Notamacropus eugenii: one gene and its partner. The protein of the gene in region 1 interacts with the protein of each later gene in a biochemical or structural test. Links are inferred from orthologs where the notes say so. Each region holds a gene or a part of one and is shown in the gene's direction. Other genes may lie near its edges. The genes, in order: SMAD1 and ACVRL1.

Region 1 (15,387 bases):
GTTTCTCATTAGCTATGTGACTTTGGACAAATCACTTTATCTCTCTAGACCTCAGATCAGTCACTTGGAAAATGAAGGCAGAAGATCTTCAAGGTCTTTTTCTGTTCTGAGTTCTACAAAAACTTATGGAAAAGAGAACTAGATGCAGCAGTATATTGGTAAAGGTTTAACAACTGGCTCTCTGGGGGGGGGGGGGAAGTATACATTACATTTATAATATATTATATTTAGTAGAAAATATTAGGTTGTTGTTGTGGTTCAGTAGTGTCCAACCCTTCATGACCCCATTTGGGGTTTTCTTGGCAAAGACACTAGAGTGGCTTGACCATTTCCTTCTCCAGCTCATTTTCCAGATGAGAAAACTGAGGCAAACAGGATTAAGTGACTTGCTCAGGGTCACATAGCTAGTAAGTATCTAAATCCAGATTTGAACTCAGTAAGATGAGTCTTTCTTATTTTAGTCCAGGTGCTCTATCCACTGCAATCACCTAGCTGCCTGATATAAAGGGTTAGTATATACTAAATAGTAGCTCTTAAGTTTAATCTGCATTCTTAGCATTTTCACCATCACTTTCTTAAGTCTAGACAATCAGCAAAACAAGAATCAAGTCCTGATCTGGAGTGTTTGTCAATTTCCAAAGGGCAAATATTCAGACTGAAACGTTAACAATAGACTCTAGGGAGATGGCTCCAGCATATGCCTGCCTGGATCTCTTTTCACTATATTATACTCGGTCCCTGAAATGGAAACAATGTGAAAGTTGCTAAAGACATCTGGGAAACAACTGTATTTCCCTGAGACTTCTTTGTTGCAGTTGTTTTACAGATTCATCCAACTCTTCATAACCCCATTTGGGGTTTTCTTGGCAAAGACAGTGGAGTGGTGTGATATTTCCTTCTTGTGTTCATTTTGCAGATAAAGAACTGGGACAAACAGGGTTAAGTGACTTTCCCAAGGTCACACAGTTAGTAACTATCTAAAGCCTGATTTGAACTCATGTCTTCCTGACTCCAGGTCTGTAGCTCTATCCACTATGCCATCTAGCTGGATACACAGATGGTAAATAAGCCATCAGCTATAAAAACTGAGACATCACAATAGAAGGATAATTTCCCCTAAGGAGGGAATGGCTAAACAAATTGCTGTATATGAATGTAATGAACTATTACTGTGCCATGGGAAATGATGAACATGGTGAATACAGAAAAGCTTGTGATGAATACAGAAAACATATATATAAACTGATGCAGAGGAAAGTAAGCAGAACTAAGAAAAGAATATACGGGTACTACCACAACAATATAAACAAAAAAGGAGAAATACAAGTAAAAAATCAGAAGTGAATACTGCAAAATTATAAAGAACAAGTATGGCTCAAAGGAAGAGATATGAGAAACTAGCTCCTACCCTTTTGTAGAGGTGGGACAGTCATAGGTCTTAGACATGGCATACATTTTCAGGTCTTCTCAATAGATGGAGGTTATTCTGAATTTTTTTCTTCTTTCTCTTTTTTCATTTTTAAAAAAATACGGTTTAAAAAAATACGGTATATGAGATAGCTATAGAGGTGTGTGGGAAGGATACTGGGAGAAATTATGGTGAGGCAAACATCTATAAAAAATTTTTTAAAAATGAAGATAAATACAAATCTTCTTTTATCCAAATTCATTGGAAATTTGATGAATTCAGTGTCTCCAAAGTCTCCAAAGTATTACCAGATTTGTTCTTCTGTAAGTTCTAGATGATGTCTGCCAACAAAGATCTTCATGGGATCTTTTATTCATGGCCACAGCATTCTGAGGGTCAACTATCTATCCACTCAAATTTTGGTCTTTATGATCTAAAAATGTCTCAACACTAGAAGATTCTTTAAAGCGGAGAAGTCCTTTAAAATCTCTTGACCTTCCTGTGGTAAGATCTTTATCATGCAATCCAGATCACTCCCAAACTTAGTGAAATTATCCTTCAATCATCCTTTTTTGTTGTTTTGCTTTTTGTTTTAGCTTGTGTCCTAGCTGAGGCCACCTGCACTCATTTTGCCTGTGTACTGCTCATATTTGCTGGCATTGATCTGGCTGACTCCTTTGCCCAGTGCTGATTCTCAGCCAGGACACACTCTCCTGCTTCAGCCTATGGTCATCACTGGTGGTGGCTTTATGGCAGTTCTTAGAAGTGGCTGGTCTCCATCAGGTATCGCTTTAGACAAGTCAGGCCCCTGCTCTGGCAGCTGAAGAGGGGAAAATGAGACAGTGAGCTTAGTTAGGGTGGGTTACATCTTAGAAAGGACAGGAAGAAATGCTCTTTGGTGACCAACCTTGCTAAGATGCAGTGGCATGAACCTGGGCACTTATATTTCAAATTCAAAAACTCCCCAGTTGTCTTTAGCTAATAATAAGTTAGCATTTATGTAGTGTTTTGAGGTTTGCAAAGAGTTTTACAAATATTAACTCATTTAGCACAATGACATTGAGAGGTAAGTGCTATTATTATCCCATTTTACAGATGCAGAAACTGAGGCAGACATCAGTTATGTAACTTGCCCAGGATCACACAGCTTGAAACTGCCTGAGGCTAGTTTGAACTCAGGTCACCCTAACTCCAGGTCCATGGGTGGTCCATTACACCACCTTACTGGCTGCTACTGTGATTACTACACACCAGGTATTTCCTGCTAAAGAATCTAAGAAACTGGACCAGAGGACTTTATATTTTATCCTAGAGCTAATAGCAAGCCATGGGTAGCTAGGTAGGGCAGTGGATAGAGTATTGCGCCTGGAGTCAGGAAGTCTCCTCTACCTGGGTTCAAATGTGGCCTCAGACACTTACTAGCTGCGTGACCCTAGGTAAGTCAACCCTAGGTAAGTCACTTCACCCTATTTGCTTCAGTTTCCTCCTCTGTAAAATGAGCTGGAGAAAGAAGTGGCAAACCACTCCAGTACCTTTGCCAAGGAAACCTCCAAATGGGGTCACAGACATTTGGACACAGCTGAAAAACACCTTAACAAATAGCAAGCCACTGGACTGTATTGAGAATTGGGGTGTTATGGTCAGACTTCTGTGTTAAGAAATTCATTTTGACTGGTGAGTAGAAAGACTTCAGGCAGGAAAACCAGCCAGAAGGGTGTTGTAGTAGTGCTGTGAAGAAGGGATGAGGGCTTGCACTAGGGTGGTAACTGTGTGAGTGGGTACAGATATAGATGTGAGTGGGATATAGATATAAACATATAGATAAAGATTTAGACAAGTTAGCCTCGTGTTTTGTCAGTAGAAGTGGAGGTCTTTAGACTTGGTAATTAAGACATCAGTGTTAACTTTGGAGAGCACAGTTTCCATTGAGTGATAATATCAGAAGTCAGATTTCAGATAGTTTGGAAGTGAATGAGAGGAAAGGAGTGTCGAGAATTAGTGTTGATGGCTTTCCCAAGGAGTTTATCCAAGAAAGGAAAGATATATAGGTCAAAAATTAGCAAGGGTAGCAGGATTAAACAAGGCTGTTCAAGGATGGTACTAGGGCACCAGGGAGGAAGTCAATAGATAAGATATTGATGATAAGAGAGAATGGGGATGATCATTGAGACAGTCTGATTTGGAAGAGGGGGAGGAGGGAAGTGATCAAGGGTACAGGTAAAGGGATTTACCTTGGCAAGGAGAAGGATCATGTCTTTTCAGAAAGAGAATGTAATGGGAGAGGATATCTAAGTGATATGAAAAGAGGAAGAAGAGAGAAGTTATAGCTCTAGAATAGTTTCAATTTTTTTCTGTGCAGTAGGAATTCAGTTCTCACCTATGAATATGGGAGGATGAAAGTATAGTGGAAAGCTTGACGAGAAACTAAAAGATTTGAAGTGAGACAGTTAATCAATTAGGGAGATGTGAAAGGATTACTCCAGCAGCTAGGGGGTGCAGTGGATAGAGTGACGCTAGGCAAGTCATTTAACCCTGTCTGCCTCAGTTTCTCACCTGTAAAATGAGCTGGAGAAGGAAATGGCAAACCACTCCAGTATTTTTGCCAAGGAAACCCCAAATGGGGTCAGGAAGAATTGGGTACAACTGGAATAATTGACCAACAGCAACATTAATGAAAGAATTGTTCTGCCCTAGTGAGAGCATTGTTGAAAGTATGGATCTGAAATTTGTATTGAATCTAGTTACCATGATCCCGTGATACTCATTTGCTCCATTTATCAATTCCTGAAAAGGAGCAAAGAAGGCTATGTGTGATGGCTCACACCTGTAATCCCTACTAGTAGAGAGGCTGAGTGATGGATGTCTTGAGCTAGGAAGTTCTGAGTTGTAGTGTAAATCCAATCATATATCTGCACTGCTTGGTATTAATACATGTGCTTTTTAAGTAATACTTAACTGAGGTCTCAGTTTCCTCATCTGTATAATGGAGAGGTTAGACTAGGTGACTGATCTCTAACTTCCCTCTCTAAACCTAAAATACTATTATCCATCTTCTAAGCACATAGCATCTACATTCTACCTTTCCAAATCATGTAATTGCACTACATTTTAAGAAAGACTTCGACTTTTCTTACCTTGTCCATCTGCATTTTGTTTCTCTATCCTGTCCCCATGATCTTCCTTGCTGATGTCAACAGGAAAGAAGGTATCATGGTATTATTACATGACTTGGACCTTGAAGATTTTAAAAGTAGAGATGGATTCATGGTTGAGGGGTGAGGCAGCAGTAGAGCATTCCAAGCAGAAGAAAAAGATGACTACAGCATTGATGGGAAAGGCAGTGCTCAGGAAATGGTGAGTGTTCCCAATAGGCTAAAACCGAGGGTTCTTAAAGGGGATACTGGATGAAGTTCATGCTGTAGGTGGTGTCAAACAAATGGAAATGGATGCCTGTGGATAGCATATTGACTTAAAAAACCACAAATTAACATTATTTATGCTTTATAGTATTCTTATTTATTTCTTAAACATTTCTCAATTACATGTTAATCTGGTTCAGACAGTACTCTGGAGATGGCATCCGAGCTTGACACCTGCTGTGGGCATTTGAACATTATTTGAAAGATTACAGAGTGCCTTGGAAGATTTCTTTTTAGGAGCAAGTGATATGATCAAAGTAGTACTTTTAGAAGATGATTCTGGTTATACACCTGTGAAGGATGGATTGGATTCAGGGAGGGACTGAGACAGCTAGGAGGCTAAGAGTTTAGACATGAAATTTTGAAGGAAAGGGAAAGAAGAGACACTGCTCAAAAGACCTTGGGTAGGAAAATGACATCTTCCCTTTGGGGAAAAGACCCATGCAACTGTTACCTTACGGGAGTCTAGCGAAATATTACAAATGAGAGGTCAATAATTTTGCTGCTAATTAAGAAATGAATACTTAGTGTTAGCATTCTGTTAGCAGGATGATTATTTGAATTAAAAGTTCCAACTTTTAATGATCAGCACAAGTGAAGTAGACCCTGGACTTGATGACTTGGCTTCACTTAATAATCTCTCAGGCTATGGCCATCTCTAAGGCTCTTTGATTTTATGACATCGTCTGGCCCATGTCAGACAATTTGAAGAAGAATTGATGTCACATGTTGGGTGCCCCAAAGGAATGCAATGACACAGGACATCACATCTAAATAGATCGATGTGAACCCTAAGATCCACACTTAACTGAGTTTTAAAGATGAGAATACTGAAGTTCTGTGTGACAGAAAAGATAAGAGGGTGGTAAGTAGAAGAGGAAACTCAGTATTCTATCTCCTCCCCATGTGCCTTTTGCAAAGGAGGTCTGTTCCTCATGCCTGTAAAGAATTCTCTCTTAGAATCCTGAGTTTCCTGCAAAGCTTAGTTCTTATTCTTCCAAGGTAGCTAGGTAGCACATTGGAGAGAGGGATGGAGTGAGAAAAAACTAGATTTGAAATCTGGCTTCAGTCATCCACTTGCTGTGTGACCCTGTCTGTTTCTGTTTCCTCATCTATGAAATGGGTATAATAACAGTGCCTATTGGGTTGCTGTGAGGCACAGATTGGGGAAGGTTGGCAACATTTCAAATACTCCATAAATACTAACATTGTTATCATGCTATATTCCAGCTTCTGTGAAAAGCTCTTCCTGTTCCCCCTCGTTGGTGACCTCTCTTCAAATTATCTGGCTTATACTTATTTGTTTCTATCTAGTATTTCGCCAAATGTCATCTTGAAGGCAACCACTGTTTGCTGTTTTTATCTTAGTAACCCCGGGAGTCTAACACAAAGCTTAGCCTATAGTAGGTGCTTGGTAAATACTGGCTCACCCAAAGGGAAGCGTCAATGGACAGTTCAGCAGAAAAAAATAATGACTAGAGAGAAAGAAAGATAAAGGAGGAAGAGGAAGAGGAGGGGGGAAAGAAAGGAGAAACAACAGAAGGAAGAGGAGAAGGAGGAAAAGAAGAAAGAAAGAGAGAGAAGAGAAGGAAGACAAAGGGGAAGGAGGAAGACTAGGAAGAGGAGGAAAGAAAGAAGAAAGGAAAGCAGGGAGATACATGGAAGGACAGACAGAAACAGAACAGGAAAGGAGCAACTCAAACTCTAATCCAGATAAAAGCAAATTTGGATCTTACCAATAACACCATTAAGTGGAAATTACAAAATGCATGCTGTTCGGAAAATATGAAATGATTGGTGTGAATTTTTACTTAGCTTTATTTGTTGAGGAACTGAGAAAAACATCAATGAAGGGATTTAAATTTTTAGAATTCAGAATTAAATGTGAAATTCTGACAGGCAGAAAGATCCTGGAAGGCAATTATTGCAAAGCTGTTGCTTCAGGAAAAAGCACCCCATAAATCTGAATTTCCAGAATAGACAACTTGAGAGGGATCACTTAGAACCATGAAAGGAGGCTTTTCACAGGAGCAGGGTCCTCCAGCTAAACTGGGTTCTTAAACTGCATCACTCTTATGGATCAAGGTGGGGAAAATGGGGAGTACATTGGGTGAACTTTTTGAGCAGAATCCCTGAAGTAAGTTCAATATGTGAATCCTTTAGTAAGTGTCATTATACGTGCATATCAACTTCATATCATTAGTCATCTGTATGTATAGAACTGTACTATAGCCACCTCTAGGCTTTCCCAGTAAAAGTGTTTTCAAATCTCCCCCCCCTCCCCCTCCAGTGGTTATCACTGCAGGATTCCTCTTAATAGTAGCTATCCTAGGAGGCCATTTAAGTTCAAACTAACACTTAAATGCACCTGGGACGCTGATATAAACACACACTTAAATGTAGCAATGGAGTTGCTATTTAAGGAAACACTGGTGGATCTTTTTGTAATGCATGTAATCCACTAATTTTTCTAATTTTTTTTCATTCAATCATTCTTTGTCTTTATGTAAAGGCAGATATTTATCAATAGCTGTATACAACAGTGAGACCTTGGGCAAGGGATTTCCCCTCTGCAGATCTGGCTTCTTATCTATAAAAAGAAGGGAGGCTGGGCTCCAGATCATAAGACTAAAAGGGATTCTATTTTACCACCACTAGTCCACTCCCATTTTATCAACTAGGAAACTGAGGCCCAGAGTGAGGAAGTGATGTGCCCAAAATCAGACAGTCTAGAAGATATTGCTTATATCTGGGAGGTGAAGAATAAAATAATTTTGGAAAAGACATAGGAATGTCATATGGAAGACTTCTGCTTGGCTTGCATGCAGAAAACTTAGACCAATAAATGGAAATTATGTAGGAAGATTTCGGGCTTAATATAAAGGAACAGAGCTATTTTTAAAAAGTAACAAAATGTAATGGAATATTTTGAGAGGTCACAGAGGGAAGCAGAAAAATACTGTTGAAGTGATCTACCACCACTCTTTCATTTTACAGATGAGTAAACTAAGGCCCAGGAAAAGAAAGGGTTAAGATCAAATGCCTGGCCTTGTGCATAGATAGGATTGGAGCCCAAATTTAGAGTTCATTTAGTTCAAATTTAGAGTGCATTTTTGACAGAAATAAATGACGAATTCGGAGGGTCCCTTTCAACTCTAAATCTTAGGAACTGCAACACACTTTTTATAAAGTGCCTACTATGTGAAGGACACAGGCACTGAAGGTACAAAAATATAAGGTGTAAATCCCGAGTTTCCAGTTTACACTCCAAGAATGTATATAGGTAAATACAAAGTTAACACAAGATAATTTCTAAAGGTGAATAGCTCTACTTTAGAAGACGGTTCCTCATTAACTGTTTTGAAAGAAACCAAAGATTTTAAAGGGTGGAGATGAGTAGGGAAGCCATAAGAAAGCTTCATTTTAGGTGAGTAATGGGAAATAAATGGAAAAAAAATGAAGAAAAGGAATTCCTAAGTAGGAACGGAGTGTTGTCCTTAATTGCAGTGGCCGGTTGTTTTTAGCATTTATTTTGTTGTGAATACACTTTTTTTGTTAAAAGCTAAACTCAACTAGGGATAGAGCTCTCTTTCTCCCCGTAATCTTGGCCAAATTTATCTATTTATGCTTTGTATCCAGGGGGTGGAATTCAAGACCCTTGAGGGTAGGAATTGGTTTTTGTTTCGTCTTTACTACTCCAGCTCTGACGGCTGAGCCTGGTACTTAGAGGGCAATTAATCTTGGAATAGATTGGGTCTCCTTCAGGTGATCGCTTTAGTTCCCCAAGATTTCATGCCAGCTTCCAAACTCGTGACCAAGAGAAGTGCTTCTGATGAGTAAAAATGCCATTTTTTGGGGTCTAGGAAGCCTAGGTAAAGCCTCAAGCTGTTCGGTCATCTCCGAAGGGCTTGCCAGTGGGTTAGAAAAAATGCCCTCCAGTCTGTAGCTTTTGCGCTTTCTAAAGGAATGTCTCCTTTGCTGCCATGCATCCTTACTTGGGGTCTGAAAGATTAAGTGTTGAAATAAAGGGGTTCTAGATCTGGCACAGAACTAACCTAGTGACTTCGAGGGCAGACTAAGCTAGGCAGCCCTCGTCTGGAAAGGCGGTGAGCGACTAATTCTGTATGTTTTATGTGCCCTTGGGAGTTTATGGGGCCTGGAAATGGTGGGGGGAAGATGGGGAGCGGAGAAAGAGCGTCTTGGTTGTTGAGTTTAAAACCAAACAGAAAAGAAGAACCCCCTCGCAGAAGGAGGACCCAGGACGGGCGGGGGGAGGGGAACGCCAGTTTAGAAAATAAAACTCTCGGCCCTGAACTTTACTGGCAAAGACCATCCACGCCAAGTCGCTCCGACTAGGAGAAGCAAGCAGACTTGCAGAACGACCCGACGCGGCGTTCTAACTGCACACCCCCTCTTTTGGAGGGGCCGGGGGGAGCTGTCCCCAGAGTCCGTTCCCCCGCCGTGTTGGTCGGGGGCCCCTAAGGCAGAGGCCTCCGCCTCCGCCGCAGCAGCAGCTGTTGCTTCCGAGCGTGCTCAGCGCGGTAATTTGGAGAGGATCCCTAGTCTGGGGTGGCGGTGGTGGAGCGTTTGTGTGTGAGTGTGTGTGTGTGTGTGTGTGAGTGTGTGCGCGCGAGTGTGTGTGTGTGTGTGTGTGTGTGTGTGTGTGTGTGTTGTGTATTGGCAGTGGAGTAGTGGAGGCTGGGCGGCTCCGACTCCCTGACGCCAGCGAGACCAGATCAATCCAGGCTCCGGGAGAGGGAGGGAGGGAGAGAAAGAGAGAAAGAGAGAGAGAGGGAGAGAGAGAGAGGGAGAGAGAGGAAGAGGAAGAGGGAGAGAGGGAGAGGAAGAGGGAGAGGGAGAGAGAGGGAGAGGGAGAGAGAGAGAGGGAGAGGGAGAGGAGAGAGAAGGAGACAGAGATAGGACGAGGGGGAGAGAGAGAGAGAGAGAGAGAGAGAGAGAGAGAGAGAGAGAGAGAGAGAGAGAGAGAGAGAGAGAGAGAGAGAGAGAGAGAGAGAAGCGAGAGGAAGAGGGAGAGAGGGAGAGGGAGAGGGAGGGAGAGTGAGAGGTAGAGAGAGAGAGTCAGAGACGGAGAGAGAGAGGGAGGAAGAGCCGGGAGCGAGCTAGCGGGCGGCGCAGGCTGCCCACTGTGCGGCGGCCGGAGCCGCGGGAGCCGCGGCCGGAGCAGGAGCGAGGGGAGGCACCGGCGGCCAGAGCTGCGGGAGCCACGGCAGCAAGACCACGGCGGCGCGGCCGGCGGTGACTCTGCGCTCGCCTTTGCGGGGCGCGCCGCCCACGGGGTAAAAACCGAGGAACCCCCCGATCCCCGAGACCCCAACTTTCTCTTCCGGACGCTCCGTCTCGCTCCCTTCCTTCCCAGCCCCGGAGCCGGACTCAGGGTGGTGTGGGGGGGGTGCCGCCGTCCGGGAAGGGGTGGGGGTGGCTGAATCCTGGATGGCTGCAGTCCCGGCCGCCCCCTCCCCACTGACCCCCGGCGGCCCTCTCTCTCTAACCCCCTTTCTGATTTCAGACTCCCGCCGCAGCGCCGGGATGGCCCCTTGGGGTACGTGGGCTTGGGGGAATGGGGCTTTTTCTTCTCGGGGAGAAGAGGATGGAAGGCCCCCCCCATGATGGCGTCGCCCGAAGCTCTTAGAAACCTAGGCCCCCCCGGCCCCCGCCTCTCCCCTCTCCCCTGGCCGGCTGCAGGGGTGCGCTTTGAGCTTCCAACTTTGCGTTGGCGTCTTTGTTGGGCCGGGGAGGGGGGCCGCCTTCGCTGCCTCTGCCCTGGCCGTCCCGGCCTGCCCAGGCCGGCTCCCCTCGGGCTCCTGGGTCCCTGACTTTGCTCCCGCTTTCCCTCTCCCTTCCTTCGGGGCGCCCCTTTGTGTCCTGCGCCCGCAGAGCGGGGAGGGGGCGGCCAAACTTGTGGGAGTTTCAGGAACTGCCTGGCTGGGTATGTCTCGTGTGTGTGTCTGCACACACACACGCACGCTCACACTCACACTCACACACACACACTCTTTTATACGCATACTCTCGATCTCAGTTTGTCCGGAGTGTGGATCGCTGAGAAGAAAGAAAACTCAGCCTTTCTCCGGCCCCCACCCCCGCCCGTTTTCCCTGTTTTCCTTTCTGTTCCTTTCGTTCAATCTTTGGGGTCGAGGTCAAGGAAAGTTCGGACCCAAAGTCTCTAATGTATTCCAAGGTTTGGTGGAGGATGATTCTGCTTGCCTTTCCCCCTGGCCCCCCCTCCCCCTTTTCTTCCTCCCCCACGCCCGTGGATCCCCCTGGACCGGATCCGATCGTCTCCCTCCGTGTGTATTGCGAAGTTTGCTCGTGAGCAACTGTGTCATTTACTGTCTCCCAAGCCTTTGTTAGTGTTTCCCTTAGTAGTTTATGTAAGGGGGGTGGGGGGGAGGGAGAGGGAAGACTGAGAGAGAAACGTGGGCTTGTTTTTCTACATGCCTAATATATGGGAGCATTTATAGGAACAGGGTTTTTCCCTTAGGTGTATTATGGGAAAGAGGAACAAACGTTGGCCGACTTTAAGATGACCACGACTGCAGAAATTTTTTCCCACTAAATTTTGAAAGGTGATGTGATTGAAAACCTTAATTTCCTCGGAGGCTTGGTCCCGAAAACCAAGGCCCAGCTCCAAGGTCCAAGCGAAGCCAGTGGCTTTCTGATCTGCCATGAAAATTGGCATGTTAACATTTGGAGTTTTGGTTTTTTTGTCTTGGACCTGAAGTTAAAAATATAGAACAAAATATGCAAAGTGGCACGATTTGGGCCTGCCTTCCTAGATGTCTCTGAAAGAAACTCTTAAGTAGCAGGATCAAAGAGCAGCTTTCTATCCGAACATGTCTCTTTCTAATTGGTTTTCAGGGATGGCATGCCCACACTTCGGTAACACAATGAGAAGACTGTGCTGTGATATCCATCTTGTTTATTTATAATTACCACTTTACCTTTTATTGAAGGCTGGTGAGCTCTAGTGGAACCAGTGTTTTTAAAAGGAATCTAGGTTGGATCAGGGTTCACTGCATCAACGTTTCAGTTGGCACCGGTGTTCTTTGCATCACTGCCATTTTTGTCTGTGGGTATTGGGCTTAAGTATATTATACAGACTCGAAGTGCTTTCTCTCACTGCATTCCCATCCTTTCCCATTTGGAGTTATTTGATATTTCTTTGCAGGTGATGTTCAGCTTGTAATATTGCAATTCTTCTGAAACTATTAACTAGGAGCCTCAGAGATGATTTTCTGGGGCTAGGTGATGCAGAAACCTCTAGAGAGGATCAAGGAAGGATTGAGTTACCCCTGAGGGTGGGGATTTGCCCTTGATTTAGTTTTGACCCCTCTAACCATAGGTATCTAACCAAATACATTTTTTTGTCTCTCAGTATCCTCTTTTATACCCTTGAAGATCTGATGACCACTGCACTTAAGAGAAGTGGTAGCTTCAGTCATTTAAAAATAAATAAATGTTGCCTTGTTACATTGTTACATTAGAAAGGTAATTGTAGGAAATTTTACAACACACCCAAGTTCAATTAATACATCTTTTTTTTTTTTAGAGGAGGCTGGGAAATCATATTTCCCTAAATATTAAAATAGGTGTATTTCTGGGTTAAAGATGAAATTTAATAGGTAAATGATTGGAAAGAAGGAATAAACTTGGGTGTAATTAGCCAGACATATTTAAACTGCAGCAGCCTGTATAATACAGCCCAAGTTGTGTATTGTGTGTGTATAAAAGGGCTCATTTGTGTAGTCTTACAAGGCTAATGGAGGCATCATTGAGCTTTATAAATAATGTAAGTTGTGTATAATGTAGAGTCCCTAGAGACTGCAGAGAAAGCATCATTACCAGCCTTTTCAACCTGCTTGAGATCTTAAATTGATTTACAGCACTGAACTGGTGCAAAATGATACATCAGGATGACATGGGGTCAGCCTGTAAAAGTCTATGATGTCAGCCTATTAGTTCAGTCATCATAATTAAACCATATTACAGGAGCAGCTAAGCTGGAATTTGGTATTATACTTCAGAGATGAGTGTTATAGGCCCTTTTTTTTTCTTTTTTATGAAAAAGGCCCCAGACTCCCAGTAACGCTTCTTTGTGTTTCTAAAAGAGTAAAAAAAAAAAAAAAAGACTTGATAGTACATTTTTAAATTTATCAACTGTGGTTTTACAGAGAATTTCAAGGTTGAAATGAGATCGCTTTTTGAGCAACTTTTTCTTTAATACTCAAGATAACTGATGCTGGGAATACTTGAATCATCTCCTCCCAAACTGATTTGGGTACCACATCCCAGAATTCCTAAGATCGCAAAGGATATGTACTACCTAAGACATCAGAGAAGATTAGAGAGCAAAGTGAGCATCTCTTTACATTTCTCTAGCCCTCCATCCTTCTCTTGTTGCTAGGTTTCTTTTGTTTTGGGGGTTAAACTATATCTGCTATAACCTGACAGGAAACTGCTTTATTTCTCTTTGTACTAGACTTAAATTGGTTGGCAAAGTCTTAAGCAGAAAAAGAAATGTTTGACTTGACTGCTTAGGCAATCCAGGAGAAAAGAAAACAATCTTTGATTGGATTGTAAGCCAGCTCTTAATTATTCAGGCTTGTTATCCAGTTTATGAATTATCTAGGTCCTTGGCTTCTCCTTGGACTCTCATTTATTTCTTTTCTGGCTAGGCTCTCCTTTAGAAGATGTTTAGGAAGTGATAGCAAATGCTAATTAACTTTATTATTTGTTAGATGCTTGATTTGTTGGGAGTGCAGATGGAAGGAATCATTTGGGCAACGGAGGATTTGTGAGTTTGGAGATTTTTTTTTTTAATCACTGTTTTCCTGGTCCCGGTTTGTCAGAATTTGATTTTGGGTGAAAGTGTTTGTCCCAGCTTAGCTTTCTGAATAGTTTTTTCAGTCCTATCCATTTACCAGTTTAAGAACTAATATATGTGTGTGTATGTGTGCGTGTGTACATATATACACATATATCTGGGGGATGCACTACTTGCTTTTCTTTTCAGTTGGCTAATGTTCAAATTTAAGAGAAGCATAAATAGGATGGCAAATTTAAAGCAAAAGGGGAAAAAATTCAGAGCATCCAAAAGCTCAAATGATTTTTAAATTATTTTGTCGTTTGAAATGTCATTGTATCTCCCTCTTTATTTTGCATAACCTGGAATTTATTGTGCTGCGTAGTAAGATCTCACTAGTAATATGTTGGTGTTGAAATAGTTATCTGAGTCTCTGAGGGGACAGGCCTTAAAATTTGTGAGAAAGAGGTGTTTCCATGACAATGAAATCTTTTTAATTCCTCTTTGATTATCTCTGGTCATCTTTCTATATTACAGACATCATAGGATCATGGAATTTTAGAGCTGGAAGTGACCTCATTTTACAGATGAGGAAACTGAGTCCCACCGAGAGGAGAAATGTGGGTTATGCTGGTAGTAAGATAGTAAGTAGCAAAACCCTGCTTTGACCTCTGTCCTCAGAAACCTCTTTTGCTCTGTAGTACCACTACTTATCTCGTTTTATGGATGAAAGTGTTTGGGGTGTAGAGGTGCAATGACTGGTCCATTTGAGGTGAGGTCATGTAGCTAGTTAGTGTCATAACTGATCTCAGAACTCAGGGCTCTGAACTCAGTCTAGTTCTCTTTCATTATCCTGTGAGCTGCTGAGATTTTCCTGCATCAGTCCAGCACAGTTGGGGGGGGTGGGGCAGGGGAAGACAGGGTCAGGAAGTCATTGGCACAACACTGTTCTTTTCTCTCACATGTTCTCATCTGAGAGTCAGGTCTGACAACCATAGATCTGTTTGTTTTTTGCAAATCAAAATTGATTTTTTTTTTCCAAGAGGGCTGGTGGAAAAGGGAAAACTCTGCATCCATAGATCTGTTTGTTTTTTGCAAATTCAAATTGATTTTTTTCCAAGAGGGCGGGTGAAAAAGAAAAACCCTGCATCTAATTCAATCAGTGGAGCATTACTGGAAGATGGGAGATCCGAGATTTTACATGTTAAAATGAGATCATAGCAGGGCCATGCCCTTTAGGCGGCCAGGTCTGAGGTACAGAGCAAGGCTTTATATGCACTTTCTTTTGGGGTTTTTGCCTTTCAAAGAGCCAGAACACATCTGTTCTATTCTTAGCTGAAAAGTGAAGACTGTGCCTTTTTGGGGGAAGGAGGGGTGGAGCGGTAGAGGTGAGAAGAGAGAGGATGGAGAAGGAAAAGTGGTCAATCTAATTTAAAAGCTGTGAAAATGTACATCACTAAAGGGGATAGAAGATTTAGGGTTAACGAATTAGCCTCCGGAATGCTACTTTTATTTGTGGTTTGCTCTTTCATACAGAGATTGTCAGGTTGGCCTTTCTGCAGCAGCAAATGGGTGATAGTCTCCTATGTGTGTGTGCCAGATTGAAATCTCATTGCTTTCTTCCTCTCCATTTTCTGTAAGTGGCCTGAATACAAATGTCCAATTTGACCTAAGTTGCCAGTCCTCTCCATTCGCCAGGTTGCATATCTGATATGTTTTTTATTACCCCTATCCAA
Region 2 (15,403 bases), on another chromosome or scaffold:
GGAGGCTATGAAGAAGGTTTGGGAGCAAAGAGGTACTAGACTACCAAATTGCCTTATCAGTGGATGGGGGAAAGATAGGAGAGAGGGAGAGAATATAGAGCTCAAAAAAATTGTTTTGAAGAATGTTAAAAATAATATAAAAAGAACATAAGTCAATACTAAATATCTACAAAAAATCAATGGAATCACTAGAGTGGGAAGAAAGTGTTAACAATTGAGGGAGATCAGAAAAGGTCTCGTGGGGGAGAAGGCACTAGAGTTGAGCCCAGAATAGAGATAGAGATGACAATGGAGGGTAGGGTGTGCAAAGGCATTGAAATGGAAGATGGAATCCTATGCATGTCAGTTTGGCTGGGATACAGGGAATATGACTTGGTGCCATCTTGGGTTTAAATATCAAATAGAAGAGTTTATAGTTCATCCTAGAGAGAAACTATAGGGAGTCACAGATGCTTTATGAGTAGGATAGTGAGACAATAGGAACTGTGCTTTAGGAATATTTGGAAGGATAGATTGGTTAGTTGGGAAAATGGAGTCAGGGAGTCTAATTAGAAGGCTACTATAATGGTCTAAATAAGGGTAAGAACAACAGTGATATGTCCAAAGGGCTACAAAAATGTGCATACCCTTTGACCCAGCAGTAGTGCTTCTAGGACTGTATCCCCAAGAGATCATTAAAATGGGAAAGGGTCTCACATGTACAAAAATATTTATAGCAGCTCTCTTTGTGGTGGCCAAAAACTGGAAACCAAAGGGATGCCCATCAATTGGGGAATGGCTGAATAAATTATGGTATATGAATGTAATGGAATACTTTTGTGCTATAAGGAATGATGAACAGGAAGACTTCAGAGAGGCCTGGGAAGACTTATATGAACTGATGCTGAGTGAAAGGAGCAGAACCAGGAGAACTTTGTACACAGCAACAACCACAGTGTGCAAGGAATTTTTCTGGTAGACTTAGAAATTCATTGCAAAGCAAGGACTTGAATAATTCCCAATGGTCTCTTAAGGCAAAATGCCTTCCACATCCAGAGAAAGAACTATGGAATTTGATTGCAGAATGAAGCAGATCATTTTCTTTTGTATTATGTTTTGGTTTGTTTTATGATTTCTCCCATTCATTTTAATTCTTCTATGTAGCATGACTAAGGTGAAAATGTATTTAATAGGAATGTATGTGTAGAATCTGTATAAAACTGTATACTGTCTCAGGGAAGAAGTGGGGAGGTAGGGGAGAAGGGGGGAGGGAGGGGAAAAAATCTAAGATATATGGAAGTGATTGTAGAATGCTGAAAGCAAATAAAATAACAATGAAAAAATAAATCTAAATTTAAAAAAAAGAACCAACAGTGATAGCTATACAAAGGGAGACAAGAAGGTAAATGCAAAATGTGTTGGGGCGATAGAATAGACAAGACTTGTTAAATGACCAGCTATGGTAGCAAGAGAGGGTATCCCATAAGACTTCGTGGTTTGATGATGTTCACACACTTTCTGCTACGTCCAAATCATTGTGACCCTATTTGGGGTTTTCTTGGCAAAGATACTGAAATGGTTTCCTATTTCCTTCTCCAGCTCATTTTAAGGATAAAGAAACAGACAGACAAGGTTAAGTGACTTGACCAGGATCACATAACTAGTAAGTATCCGAGGCCAGATTTGAACTCATGTCTTTCTGACTCCAGGCCAAGCACTCTAACCACTGTACCACCTAGCTGCCTCGTGAGTCCTGAGTTATTTGAAGGATGGTGTGCCCTTGGCAGAAATAGATTAGGAAACAGAGTGATTTTAAAAGAGAGTGAATTTAATTTTGGATGAACTGAGTTTGAGATACAAATGAGACATCCCATGATGTCTAGCAGATAGTTGGTAAGACCAAGAAAGAGATATGGGCTGGATATGTAGATCTGTGAACTATTTGCATAGAGATGAATTGAGTCCATGGGAACCCATGAGATTACTAAGAAAGAACAGGGTCCAGGATACAGACTTAGCATAGATCCTCCCATAATAGGTAGGATATGAATAATAAGCCATCAAAGGAAACTGAGGAGTGTTCAGATGGGTAAGAGAAGAACCCAAATAGAGAAATAACATGAAGACTCAGCAAGAATGCACAAGGAAGGATGGGTTGGCAAAGTATTGCAAAAAATCATCGAGGATGCGGACTGAGAAAAGGCTATTGAATTATACAATTATGTTGTCATTGGTAAGCTTGGAGAAAGCTGTTTAAGTCAAGTGAAAGGATCAGAAATTAGATTTTAAGGAACTGAGGAGTGAATGGGAGGGGAGGAAGGAGAAGCAAGGGCATAGATGACTTTTTCTAGGATTTTGGCTCTGAAAGTCAGAATATAACATTTTTATTCACATTTTTTATAGTTAATTTGGGTATTAATAACAGTCAAAATGACTTATTCTCTCAAATTATTAAAAACAATACTGCTGTTACTGTATACAGTGTTTTCTTGGTTCTTCTCATTTCACTCTTCATTATTTTGTGCAAATCTTTCCATGTTTTTCTAAGATCATTGGGCTCATCATTTCTTAGGATGACAGTTTGAGAGGATAGTAGGAGTGAGTGATATTTCTTTGAAGGACGTGGAAGATCTAGGCATGTTTGTAGGCAGGAGAGACAGAGACAGAGACAGAGAGAGAGAGACAGACAGACAGACAGAGCAAAGATTGGAGAGAGGAGTTATGATGGAAGATATCAACTCCTAGAGGACACCAATAAGTTTCCAAGTTCTGTCCATTTTCCTTACACTCTTTCCTCTACTCACATGACCACCCTCATCACCTCTCCCCCCTAGAGTCCTCTAATAGTCTCCTAACTGTTCTTTTTGTCTCCAGTCACCCCAAATCTTATTAATTTTTCACCCAGCTGCCAACACAATCTTCCTTATTGATGGGTCGAACATCTTGCTCTTTCACTCAAGAATATTTATAGTCTCTTTATTGCCTATAAGACAGTTAGAGGCAACATGACATAATGGAAAGAAGACTAGTTTTGGAGTCAGAAAACCTGAATTCAAATCCTATCTCCTATAACTAACTAGTTGTTAACAACTAACTTTCTAGTTGTGACTTTGGACATGTCATTTCCCTAGATCCCCTGAAAGGTTTCAAGGGGGTTGTCTCTTTTCCAGTACTATCAGCTTGAGCCCCCACTGGCTGTGTTCTCTCATTGTTTAGGACCAGTGATTGGCACTCTATCCATTGTGGAGTGATTAAATGGATAGTGTCTTACCAAGGGATATTTAATTCAAAAGATTTATTTTGCTTTAGACTCCAAGCTAACCAGCCTCCTCTTTTTCTTTCTTTCTTTTTTTACTTAACAGTACTTTATTTTTTCTCAATTACATTTAAAGATAGTTTTCAACATTCATTTTTGTAAGATTTTGAGTTCCCAAATTTTTCTCCCTTCCTCCCTTCCTTTCCCAAAACAGTAAGCTGATATATCAGTAATCTGATATAGATTATACATGTACAACCATATTAAATATATTTCCACATAAGTCATGTTGTGAAAGAAGATTCAGAACAAAAGAAAAAAACCACAAGAAAGAAAAAACAAACAAAAAATTAAAATAGTATGTTTCAATCTGTGTTCAGACTCCATAGTTCTTTCTCTGGATTTGGATAGTATTTTCCATCACAAGTCTTTTGGAATTATCTTGTATCATCATATTGCTGAGAAGAGCTAAGTGTATCACAGTTGATCACTGCATAATGTTTCTGTTACTATGCACAATGTTCTCCTGGTTCTGCTCACTTCACTCAGCATCAGCTCATATAAGCCTTTGCAGGTTTTTCTGAAATCTGTCTATTCATCATTTCTCATAGGACAACTGTATTCCATTGCATATATATACCACAACTTGTTCATTTGTTGTTCCTTCCACAATTGATGGGCATCCCCACAATTTCCAATTCTTCGTCACCACAAAAAGAGTTGCTATAAATATTTTTGTACATGTGGGTCCATTTCCCTTTTTTATGATCTCTTTGGGATACAGACTTGAGTAGTTAATCAACTTTCTCTGAACCACATGTTTATCCAGCTGGAACCAGTTAAAGTATTTCCACATATGATTCATAGTCTCTCTATGATACCTCCATTCACATTATCATGATTCTCTCAGAGGCAGAAAGCAAGATCTCCACATCTCCATGTGGGATGGTTCCATTAAAGTGATTCTGTCTATATTCCAGACTCCCATCGTACTAGAATTTGGGGCCCCTAACAATATGGCTTTAACCTACCTTTCCAATATTATTTCACTACATTCCCCTTCTCATACTCTGTTTTCTATGCAGACTAGATTAGTAGCTATTACACTGATCTCCTTGAGGATGGGGATTATTTCACTTTGGTCTTTGTCTTCTAAGCACCCAACACATAGTAAATGTTCAATAAATGTTCCCTTTGTCTTGCCTAGAATCAGGGAAAGCTAAGAGGTACCACAGTGTATGGTAACCCTGAGCCTAGAGTCAGGAAGTTGTTGTTGTTCAGTTGTGTCTGACTCTTCATGACCCCATTTGGAATTTTCTTGCAAAGATACTGGAGTGGTTTGCCATTTCCTTCTCCAGCTTATTTTACAGATGAGGGAACTGAGGCAAACAGAATTAAATGACTTGCCCAGGGTCGCACAGCTAGTAAGTGTTTAAGGCCAGATTTGAATTCAGGAAGACTTATTTTCCTGACTTCAGGCTGGGCTCTCTATCCATTGCACCACCTAACTACCCCTAAAGTCAGGTAGACCTGAGTTCAAATCCAACCTCAGATATTTACTAGCTATATGACCCTGGGTAAGTCACTTAACCTCTGCTTCAGTTTCCTCAACTGTAAAATGGGGATAATACCAGCACCTAGTGCTTGGCACATAGTAGGAACTTTATAAATTCTTGCTTCCTTCCTTCCACCAATACTTAGGTCTCCTGACTTCAAATTCACAGTTCTTCTCATTGCAACAGAGTTAAAGGGTTAAAAAAGGGAGGGGAAAGGAGAGAGAATAGGGATAAATTTGGGACGAATAATGGAAGGCCCTGAGATAACTTCTGGTGAATGACAACTTGGCACTTAAAGTGAGAACGATGTAGTGGGAAGAGAATCTGGGCTGTATTTCACAGACCAGGGTTCAAATCCCAGATGTGCTAAATAGTCTTCTACTTGGGGTAAACCAACTATTCCCTTTGGGCCGGAGTTACTTCATCTCTAAAATGGAGGAGGGGAAGGAGGAGGATTGAACTAGTCCAAGGTTTATCCCAGCTCTGTGTTAAGAGTTCTCTAAATATCTTGTGCTCCTAGATCTGTTTATTTTACTATTTCCATTTCGTGTTGTATGTGTGTCTGATTTTGACTTTATGAGCTCTCTAAGGCTCGATATGAGGCAGGACAACTGACTGGCTTCTCCTATACGAGAAGAGGGTAGAAGCGGCTGGTCACTTTGGTTTAGGAAAACTGACTCCTGCAGAGTGGGTCTGGGCACCCTATGTGAAAGGGTATCCCATTAAGTGGGCATGTCTAGGGAGTCAAGACCAGATCTAAGTGAGGAAAGGAAGGACCATGGATCCAGTGGAAAGAAGTCAGAAAATGTAGGTGTAAATACAAGGTATAATCATGGCAAATCACTTCACCTATCTGTAAAATGGGTATAATAATGCTATGCATCTACATAGCTCACAGGATCATCATGGATAAATTATGCTTTAACTATACAAATTTGAATAATGATCCTTTATTAAAGATTATAGGAAAGAATAGGCAAGACAGTCAGGCCCTATCCTTGTTCACCAGCTCCAAAGAAGAACAATGCTTGGAGATCCCAAGATGTAAACAGTAGCTGGGAACAGAAGAGGAAGATGACTCACTGGCCCTTTGTCTGGCATCCCCTGTTGCAGGTCTACCAGTCCCTTCCTGAACTTCTAAGACCATTAACTTCTCCACTCTCTGCCCTTCCCCCACTCCCCCCATTCCAGTACCTTATACATCCTGTCAGCTGCAGAGAGAGGGGCTGGGGAAACCAGGGGGTGCCAGCTTGTCTGAGATAGATGACATCTAACGGGTCACTTCATCCATCCTTCTGCCTTGGAGTCCAGGACCTAAATCTCCCACATCTAAGTTTTTGTTCTCTGTGATAAAGAATCATCCTTCCTCATATTTCAGCCTTTCTCTCAGTCCCAGTTTCCAACTACCTGCCCCCAATCTTTAGCTCTTTCCTCTTTGGTCACAGGTCTTATTCTCAGTCTCTGTGTCCCTCCTCTGATTACTCCTCATGACCCCCAAAGCCTCCATATCCCTCTGACATTGTGAGGTCTAGGACCAGATACAGAAATCTCACCTGGTCTAGGATGGAGATTCTCCTTCTCTAGGTTACAGCACTTATTGGGAGGTTGGGGCAATTACAAGGTGGATAGCAGAGAGTAGAGGAGGAACAGTCAGCTAAAATAATGGTACATAGCCCATTAGGGACCTCTCTTGTCCTTGGTATCTGGCACCAAAGCTGTAAATTAGCCCTTGGAGAATGGAAAGAAGGAAGGAAGGAAAGAAGGAAGGAGGAATGAAAAGAAGGAAGGAAGGAAGGAAGGAAGGAAGGAAGGAAGGAAGAGAGCTTCTGCTGTCAAGGAGTTTACATTCTAATGGTGAAAAACATAACAGAAAGCTAGGAAAAGGGAGTGTAAGGAGATATGAGAAAGAAGTTTGGAGTATTGGGAGTGGAACTTGAAGAGGAAGGGGAATGTGAGCATGGTTGGCCTTGGGCCCTTCCTTAAAATGGAGCTTCTGGGAGGAACTGCTAGATCAGGGGAAGGGGCCCCAGGAATCTTCCTGGGTTGAGGTTTTCTGGAGCCTGGTAGAGAAAGAAGTCTGGAGAGTCAGAGCCTAGAGGAATGGAATTAGAGTCAAAAGAACTGAGTTCAAATCCTGGCTCCATTCCCTCTTTACTCTCTATAGAACTTTGGATAAGCTACATTTCTGTGGGCCTCACCTGTACAAGGAGGGGTTGGCCAAGAAGCTAGTTACTAACCAATTTGGATGACCCTGTCTAGCTCTGATAAGCTGTGAAATCTTCTCTGAGTCAGCGCCCTGAGTGACTGTGGATCATTGGTTCACACATTTCAAGCTGGACAAGGCCTCAGAGGTAGTCTAGTTCCAACACTTCTTTTTATATATGGGGAAAAGGCAGCCAAGAGAGCTTGAGAGACTTGTTTTCCGGGAGCTCACAATCTAGTTGGGACAATTACAGAAGACATCCTATAATTAAGGGCCAAGCTACTCTGATTAAAACACTAGCTGTTGTTAGTATTCAGAGGAGTGAGGGATCCATGAGACCTCCTCCACCCCTTGGCGATTTAGCCCCATCTTTGTTCCCCTTCCCTTCCTAATGCAAAGAGGACACAAGGAAATTTCCCATCTAATTCTGGCTACAAATGCTTTCTAATTCATCACCCCCCCACTCTACTCTGCCTCTATCATGCTCCAAGTCTGGACTCAAAATGACAACTCCCTCTCTACCCTCTCCCACCTCTCTAGCCTCAGACATGTATTTCCTAGGTTTTAAAATCTCACTTCCCAAGCTCCCTTGGGCCCCTGCTCCCCTGTCTCCTGCCTGACTCAACTGGGAAGTTCTTCTGCATGTCTAATCTCAGTATCTGCCTTTGGCCTGCTTCCTCCCTGGATATGGGGAACAGCTGGTCCCTCTGAGCAGTAAATCGTTGTAGACTTGGACACAGATTCTAATTCCTTTCCCCTTTCTTCAGAGGTCTGACTTTTAGCTCTTTCCCAATCCATGTGTCACTGAACAGAAGACTGTAAACTAGGTCAGCGATGGCTGATTAAAATGGAGAGAAGAGCAGAGACTCTGAATATCTCTCACCTCCCCACTCTTATCCCAGCCCTGTCCTTCCCCTTCAGACCTCTGATCTACTCTTCTCCAAAAAAGCCCTCCAGGAAGAGCCCTTCTGAAAGACTTTTCTTTCCCCTTTGCCCACCAGCTCCACTACCTTTAGATGCTTAGCATTCCGTCCTTGTTTCTCTCTCCCTGTTGCTTCTTGCCTTAATTTTTCCACTTTGATTTCTTTTTTCTTAACCCTTGCTATATCTCAAACAGGTTCTGGAAATTCATAGTCTTCACAACTGATAATAACATGTCAACAGAGGAAAGGAAGTCAGTCACCAAAGGAGCTGAGATAAAGCAGAAGCAACTCAATCCTTGCAACTGTTGCTTAGCCAGCTTGTGGTACCCTTTGATTCCCAGACCCTTCTCTACCATTACAAAGAGATGGCCCAATCCCACCTCATTTGGGGAACTCCATTTATTTTTTCCCCTTTGTGTTTCCTTATGCTCCTTTGATGAACCCCTTTCCCAACAATGGTGGAGAGCAGGGAATAGGAAAGGTTAGTCCCAAGAGGCTCACTCTGGTTCCTTCCCGGTGACTACCCCAAATTTGGAACGGACTCGTCCCAACAGGTATGTCTTGGCACAGACTTGAACAAACCCTTCCAACACCCTTGAGATATGACTTACAATTTCAGGCCTGAGCTACTTTTTCCAGAATCTCTCACTCCCCCACTGCTCAGCCTGGCTCCTAACCCTCTCACTGGGGACAGCCTTAAGGAGAGAATAGATTATAATCCATTTTTTTTAAGAGTTAAAAAGAGCATTGGAGAGTAAGTACTCCTCATTTTATAGGTTAGGATATGAAGCACAGACAAGCGAGCTAACTTGTCGGAGGTCCCAGAGCCGGGCTATTCGTTCCTTACACTGGGATGCTTGCCTTGAGCAGCAGAGGCTCTGGACCCCACTACCTCACATGGAGCAGCTGGGCTTTTGGAGCTGATGATGATTTGCATTTGGTGACTCCAGCCCCCAAAGCGGGGGCCCTACCCCCCCACTTCATCCCCATTCCCGAGCAAGGCCAGGGAGCTGGAGCCGGGGCTGGGCTGGGCTGGAGGGAGCAGCGGATGTGGGAGGTTTGTGGAGGGGGTGCGGGGGAGACCGGAGGGAATGGTCAGCTGGCGAGGAAGAGAGGGGAGGCGGCCCCATAAACAGGGAGAGAGCAGTCCCTGTAAACGCGTTTGGCAATAGGAAACGGTATATTACAGGGGAGGGAGTGGCGGAGTAGGGCCAGGCAGGAAGAAGCTGGAAGAAGACACTTTACAACTCCTGCCTGGTCTTTCCCGAGTGCCGGCGGGCCGAGCAAGCGGCCCCCAGGGCTCAGCGGGGCTGGAGAGGGGATCGAGAGCATCCCCACCCTATCCCCGGGCCCCCAAGGGCCCCAGGACCCCAGCGAGGGCCCGGCGGCAGAGCATCCGCAACTCAGATCCAGAGGAGGAGGAGGAGGAGGAGGAGTCAGGGGTGTCAGGGGCGTGGGAGGAGAGGAGCTGGCCTGAGTCCACACCTCCCCCTTGTCCGCCACCCCCCAAGTCCCAGGGCTGCTAGCCCTCTGGCTACAGCCTAGGGCAGAGCAGGGAGGTGAGTTGGGGTCAGCCCTTGGGGAGTAGGGAGGGGGAAAAATTCGCTGATTTCCAGGCGTGAAGCCCATATTGTGATTCCAGGATGGGATATCCCTATTCCCAGAAAACCTCGGCCTTATAATTGGAATTCCTATGACTTCCACTCCATAGGCCTAAACCTCTAATCCCTAGTCTATAACTCTGGTCCCCAACACATAGGGATCACTAGTTAAATAATGTTGTTTAGGTAACCCATAGGCTCTGAACTTCCCAAGATCATCCTTCTCAGTTGCACTATCTCACTCCCAAATCAGATTGCCAAACTACACCTTCTAGATTCCCCCTCCCCTGTTTACCAGCACCAATATGTTGATTTACTGATTTGCAAGGGTAGATGGGCTTTTCCAGTGAATAGATGCCTCTTATCTTCTAAAGCGTGGTCCTGGGACTGAGCTCTCTGGATGACCATGTTAGTTTCTTGAGTCTTTCTCCAACTCTCCTTTCTACAGACTTGGTGTGACCCATCTGTCCTCTAAATATCTGATCTCTTCATCACACCATTTCCCTCACTTTTTTTTTTTTTAGCACTTTTTGGTAACATGTCCCAGTTCTAAAGTGTATATAGTCTTTTCTGCATTGATTTAGTTGAACTTAATTATCTTTAAAGACCTACTCTGTGCAAGCTGCTGAGGGTACAAAGGTATGATATTAATCCTGCTTTTAAGGACTTTGTGATCTAAATGGGGAAGAGTGGAAGGACAATTATATAAGCAGCTATGATATAAGGGGGTGTGAGATAAGTGCAAAGGAGAATCCTGGTAAGGTGTCATGGGACACTTAAGGAGGAAAAGAATCAAAGGAGGTTGGGGGAGGGGGTGGGGACAGTCTCAGGGGAGATTTCTTGGAGGATGTGGCTTTGAAAGAAGAGGGGATTAAAAGGCTGGAGATAGGAGTAGAGGTATCCTTTTCAGGCATGGGGTATGATTAAGAGTGAAGGGACACAGATGAGAGCCAGCAGGTAGAGAATGGGAATGGAGAGTAATCTCATGAAGGAAAATAGTATGAGATAAAGACATGTGGTACAGATGTTGTAGGCAGAGGTGCCTATTATATAGGAACCAGATTAAAATGTAATTGGGGAATGTTTAACAAAAATAAATTAAAATACAATAGAACATAGATAATGTTAATTTGTGGTTTTCTAAGTCGATATGCCACCAACAGGAAGAATTATGCATGATTTAATAGTGAGTTTGCATCACTTTGCAAAGGACCTTAAATAACAGGGCCAGGAGGTTTTATTTTATTTGGTAGGTGATGGGAGCCACTGAAAGTTTTAATGTAAAGGAATAAACTGGAAGTATCCTGGGGACCTCAAGTAAGGCTGCAGAATCTTATCAGGAGTTCCTTTCTGTTCCATTGGCTCCAAAGGAGGTTTTTCTGAAATATTAAATCCCATGTATGTGGGCAGAATCAAGTTGGTCTCTACCACAAGTGATGACCCTTTCCAGGACTGGAAGTTCTGGCCTCTTCTTGACCTTTGTCTCAGTTAGGTCTTCCCCTAGATTTCAGGGCTCTTGATGGGTTGGACCCCCAATCTGACCCCATAACTCTAACCCCATAGCCACAACCCTTTTATTGCCAAAGGGAGTATGATATCTAAGTCAAGTCCTGACTTAGACATTTACTAGCTATTACCCTTTCTCACCTTCAATTTCCTTATCTTTAAAATGGGAAATGGGAAAAGATGATCTTGGCTCTAAATTCTATGCTCCTATGGCCCTCCTTAAGAGACAGTCCTTTAGGGGGCCAGCATTTCTGTTTTTTTCTTCTGACTCTCCTGTAAACCCATTCCCTGCCATCTTGGGACACTCCCCTTACCCTACTCTCCCTGACCACCTTGGCTCTGTAGACCAACATCTACTGTGCATACTGTCTAGACCATTATACTTCCTCCCTTTTCCTGAAGAGATGATAATATATGCTTGTTTGGGCAAATTGATCTTTCTCTAAGGGCAGTTTAGGACTCTACCCAGAAAGGACCATGTTGTACGTCTACTTAGATGATGAAATCTGTTTCTTCTTTCTTCTGTTTAGTAATTAGCCCTACCCAGTGCCATATCGTGTTGTAAGGTTTTCCCTTCTTTGACTCTGGCACTCTCAGGTGAGGGATGATCTAAAGGGAGGAAGAAATATGGAATCATAGTTGGTCATATCCAAGTCTTCTGCATTTTGCCTCCATAACATCTCCTGCATCTGAACCTTTCTCTCCATTCCCATGGCCCCTACCCTAGTTGAGGACCGCCATCATCCTAGTATGATTGCAGCAGCTTTTTAATGAGGCTCTCTGCTTCCAGTTTCTTCCTTTCTCCAATACACGTTTCATAGAGTTTGCAAAAACAATCTTCCTAAAGTACAGGCCTTATGTTTGCTCAAAAATACTCTAGTGGGTCCCTATTTCCTCTGGGATAAAAACTAACTCCTCCAACTAGCATTTCAGCCCTCCCCACTCTGGCTCCAACATGCCTTTGTAGAGATCTCATATTACCCCCTTTCACTCATTGTACAGTCAAGCCAAACTGGCCTGCTAGTGTTCCCAAAATTCCATCTGCTGTCTTTGTGCCTTCCCACAGACCTTCCCCCATGTCTGGAATGTGTTCCTTCCTCTTCTCTGCCTCTGAGAATCCTTAGCTTCCCTAAACTAGCCTGGTATAGTGGATAGAGGGCTGGACTCCAATCCTGCCTCAGTACCTGGGGCAAATCACTTCACCTGTGTGGGACTTGATGACCTCAAAGGTCCCTTCTAACTGTAAAGGTTTAGTCTGCCTGAAGGGGTGAATTGAGAGTGGATCTTCCATGAATACTCCTCCAGTTTCCCCAATGTGCTTTTAGCCACTCTGAGAAGCACTGAGGGGTAGTGGAAATACTTCTGGAATTTCAGTCAGCAAGTTAGGATCCCACAAAGATTCTATAGAGCCTAGGTGTACTGGGAATGTTTAACAACATTGTGTGTGTGGGTGTGGGTGTGTGGGTGTGGGTGTGGGTGTGTTGGGGGAAAACAAATGTATCCAGATATACTTTTAAGTTTAATCTACATTATTAAATTTTCTCCATCATTTTCTTAAGCCTGAAAACCAACAAAACCAATAAATCAAACCTTGATTTACAAATTAAGCATTTGCCAACACTCACATTGAAAATCTAACCACCAGCTCTCTCAACTACCTCAGCTCAGGTCCCATTCCTTACACAAAACCTTTCCTGAGCACCCTGGTTAGTGCACTCCCCATCCTCAAATTCTGTTGTACTGACTTATTTGTGTATATTTTGTACTCATGGTGTCTTGCACTTAGGAGGCACTTAATACATTTGATTTGATAATAGGTTTACCATTGGAAAGGACTTTAGAGAGATCATCTGGTCTTACTCCCTCATTTTAGGATCCGTGCCCACTGAAAGTTCCCAATCTGACCAAAGGAGAAGGGAACAGGCAAGAGAACAGGCAAGCTCTTCAACCCCCAAGACTCTAACCTCTAATCATAAAACTGATATTGAGGGAAGCTACAGGCCTTGTCCGATCTGATCCTTCCAACCAATAAACCTTGGAAGTGGCTTCTCTCCATTTTACAGAGAAGAAATCTGAGACTCAGAAAGATTGGGCTAATTATCTACTGTCTAAGTATCTGAATCAAGTCTCAAACTCCAGCCTTCTCATTGGAAGTCCAGTAGTTTTACCACTATTTCCTGGTGCTTCTGATAGAGGCTAAAAGCATAAAGAGATTGGGGGGAGGCAGTCATCATAGAAGACCTAGATCCAGTCCCCGTTCACCCCTTCAGGCAGAATAGAACTGTAGGTGGGTGGGCTTTTGATTGTTAGAGGTATGATGCATTTTTTTTTTAAATCTCAGTTCTCAAGGCCTAAGGCTGAAGTCCCGGGGTGAGAAGAAGAGGGGTTTGGAATGTGACTGTTATAAAAGGATTAGACATTCAGGCCTGGCCTTGTCTCGTCTGTTTCAATTATTAGTCTCTGAAATAGAGGCTTTTCCTGTTTAGCTTTTGGCATCAGACCAACCTGAGCTTGATAGCCTTTTTCTGAGATCCACTTCAAATCCCCTTGCTTAAGTCTCCTATCCCCAGAATCACAATATCTGCCCCCCCAGCTGTTGTGAGGCTCCAATGAGATAGCAGATGTAAAGCACTTTGCACATCTTAAAGTGCTATGTAAATGCAAGGCATCATTATTATTTATTATTATTATCATCACCCTCAAGTCTGGAGATGACTTTATTTTCTGAGCCTTCTACTACACTCCTGCTGAAATCAAGCTTGTTTATAAAGTAATACAGAGATATGCTAGTAAAGATTTAACAACAAGGCTGGGGGGGGGGGGGGGTGGGAGTGGGGGAGAAATACAGGGTATGGGAGAATAGTGCTTTTAGATTTAAAAAACTTTTCGCGCTACAACACCAGGACATGATTAGTGCAAATATGGCTATTATCATTTTGCAGCTGAGGAAACTGGACCTCAGAAAAGGAAAATGACGTACCCAGACCCATGTGGCCAATGTGTTTAAGTCATCCTCTTAACCTAGGGCTTCTGACCCCAAGTCTGAGAATATCTACCAACATCCACTCTCAGGAATGTTTGCTGGGCAGTTTTAGCAGCTTCTACACATGTGTGTGCATGCACACATGCCACATACAAGCACACATATGACCCACATACATGCACACATGTGAAACACACAGAGATACACCCACAGCCCTAACCATCTTTACATATCTACACACATCCTAATACTACTATCGGGCTACATCCCACTTCCATTTAACGCTCCTCCCTCCGTTACCTAATCTTTCCTTGAAACTTTTGACTTGCCCACCTGCTGAGTCCCAGCTCTGCATTTACTAGCTGGGATTGTAAGCAAGTGATTTCCCTTCTCTAATTATATATAACTATCCCACTGGAAAATAAGGAAGTTCAGCTAGGTGACATGTAAGGTTCCTTCTGGCTCTAACAATCTATGGCTCTATCTTCACCCAAACTCCCCTCTACCTCCCCAGCTGTCCCTATAGAAAGACCCCAATCATGAATTAATAGCACCAGCCCAGGTAAATGATGATCCTTCTCTACTAGATGAGAGTCCTTTGATTGAGGGCCAAAAAGATGTCTCATCCTCCACCTCACCTGAAAGTTATTCCTTGAGTCTATCCTCTGAAAGTGAAGTGATAAGAAAAGGGAGGTCTAAGAGACATAACTGAAAATGAAGGTGCAGCTCTAGGGCCCATTTCTTCCTTCAGCTGTTGGCCTGAGGTACAGGGCAGGGTGAGGCCAGGAGGAAACAGAGGTCCCCCAGCGCAACCAGGAGTACTGGAACTGCCCCCAGTGTGGGGAGTGCCTGCTGCATTCAGGGTTAGCCTGCCTCACTTCATTCTCCATACAGAAGGACTCTTCTTTTTCTACAGACAGGAAATCCTCTCCTGGTGCTTGGGACCCCTGGGTCACTTCCCAGGACACATGTGGACCTTCCTCAAAGAAAATCTCCTCCCTATTGAATCTCCATCCCTCCTGCTGCAGTCTCAGTCCAAAATTATAATTCATCACAGGTTACTTTGTATAATTTTCAATAAGATTCATTCATTCCTCTAGCTACTACTGGTTTTGGAGTCAGAAAACCTTGGGTCAAATCCTGGCTCTGCTTCTGAGTGGTGTATCCCTTTTACATCTGGGCCTCAATTTCCTCATCTGTAAATTGTTGGGATTGGAATAGGTGATTGGTAAAGTCCTTTCCAGATCTACATCCCATGACTTAATAACTCTGTGAGGCAGTTGGAGTATTGTCTCCATTTTAATAGATGAAGGCAGTGAGGCCAAGTGATCAGTCTGTCAACAATTAATTATTAAACATTTATTAAGAGTCTACTATATGGCAGACCCTGTGATAT

Evidence for each region.
Region 2: of the proteins of SMAD1 (region 1) and ACVRL1, one has a biochemical effect on the other in vitro, tested with the Homo sapiens proteins (2 studies listed by BioGRID). The link is inferred for Notamacropus eugenii from reciprocal best matches to the Homo sapiens genes SMAD1 and ACVRL1.

What each region holds. Positions count from the first base shown.
Region 1 is NC_092877.1:142,387,112-142,402,498, forward strand, and holds the start of SMAD1 (mothers against decapentaplegic homolog 1), read left to right. Parts: upstream 1-9,051; 5' UTR 9,052-9,368; intron 9,369-9,403; exon of another isoform or gene 9,404-10,124; intron 10,125-15,387. UniProt on the Homo sapiens protein: Transcriptional modulator that plays a role in various cellular processes, including embryonic development, cell differentiation, and tissue homeostasis.
Region 2 is NC_092874.1:224,306,183-224,321,585, forward strand, and holds the start of ACVRL1 (activin receptor type-1-like), read left to right. Parts: upstream 1-8,678; 5' UTR 8,679-9,476; intron 9,477-15,403. UniProt on the Homo sapiens protein: Type I receptor for TGF-beta family ligands BMP9/GDF2 and BMP10 and important regulator of normal blood vessel development. On ligand binding, forms a receptor complex consisting of two type II and two type I transmembrane serine/threonine kinases.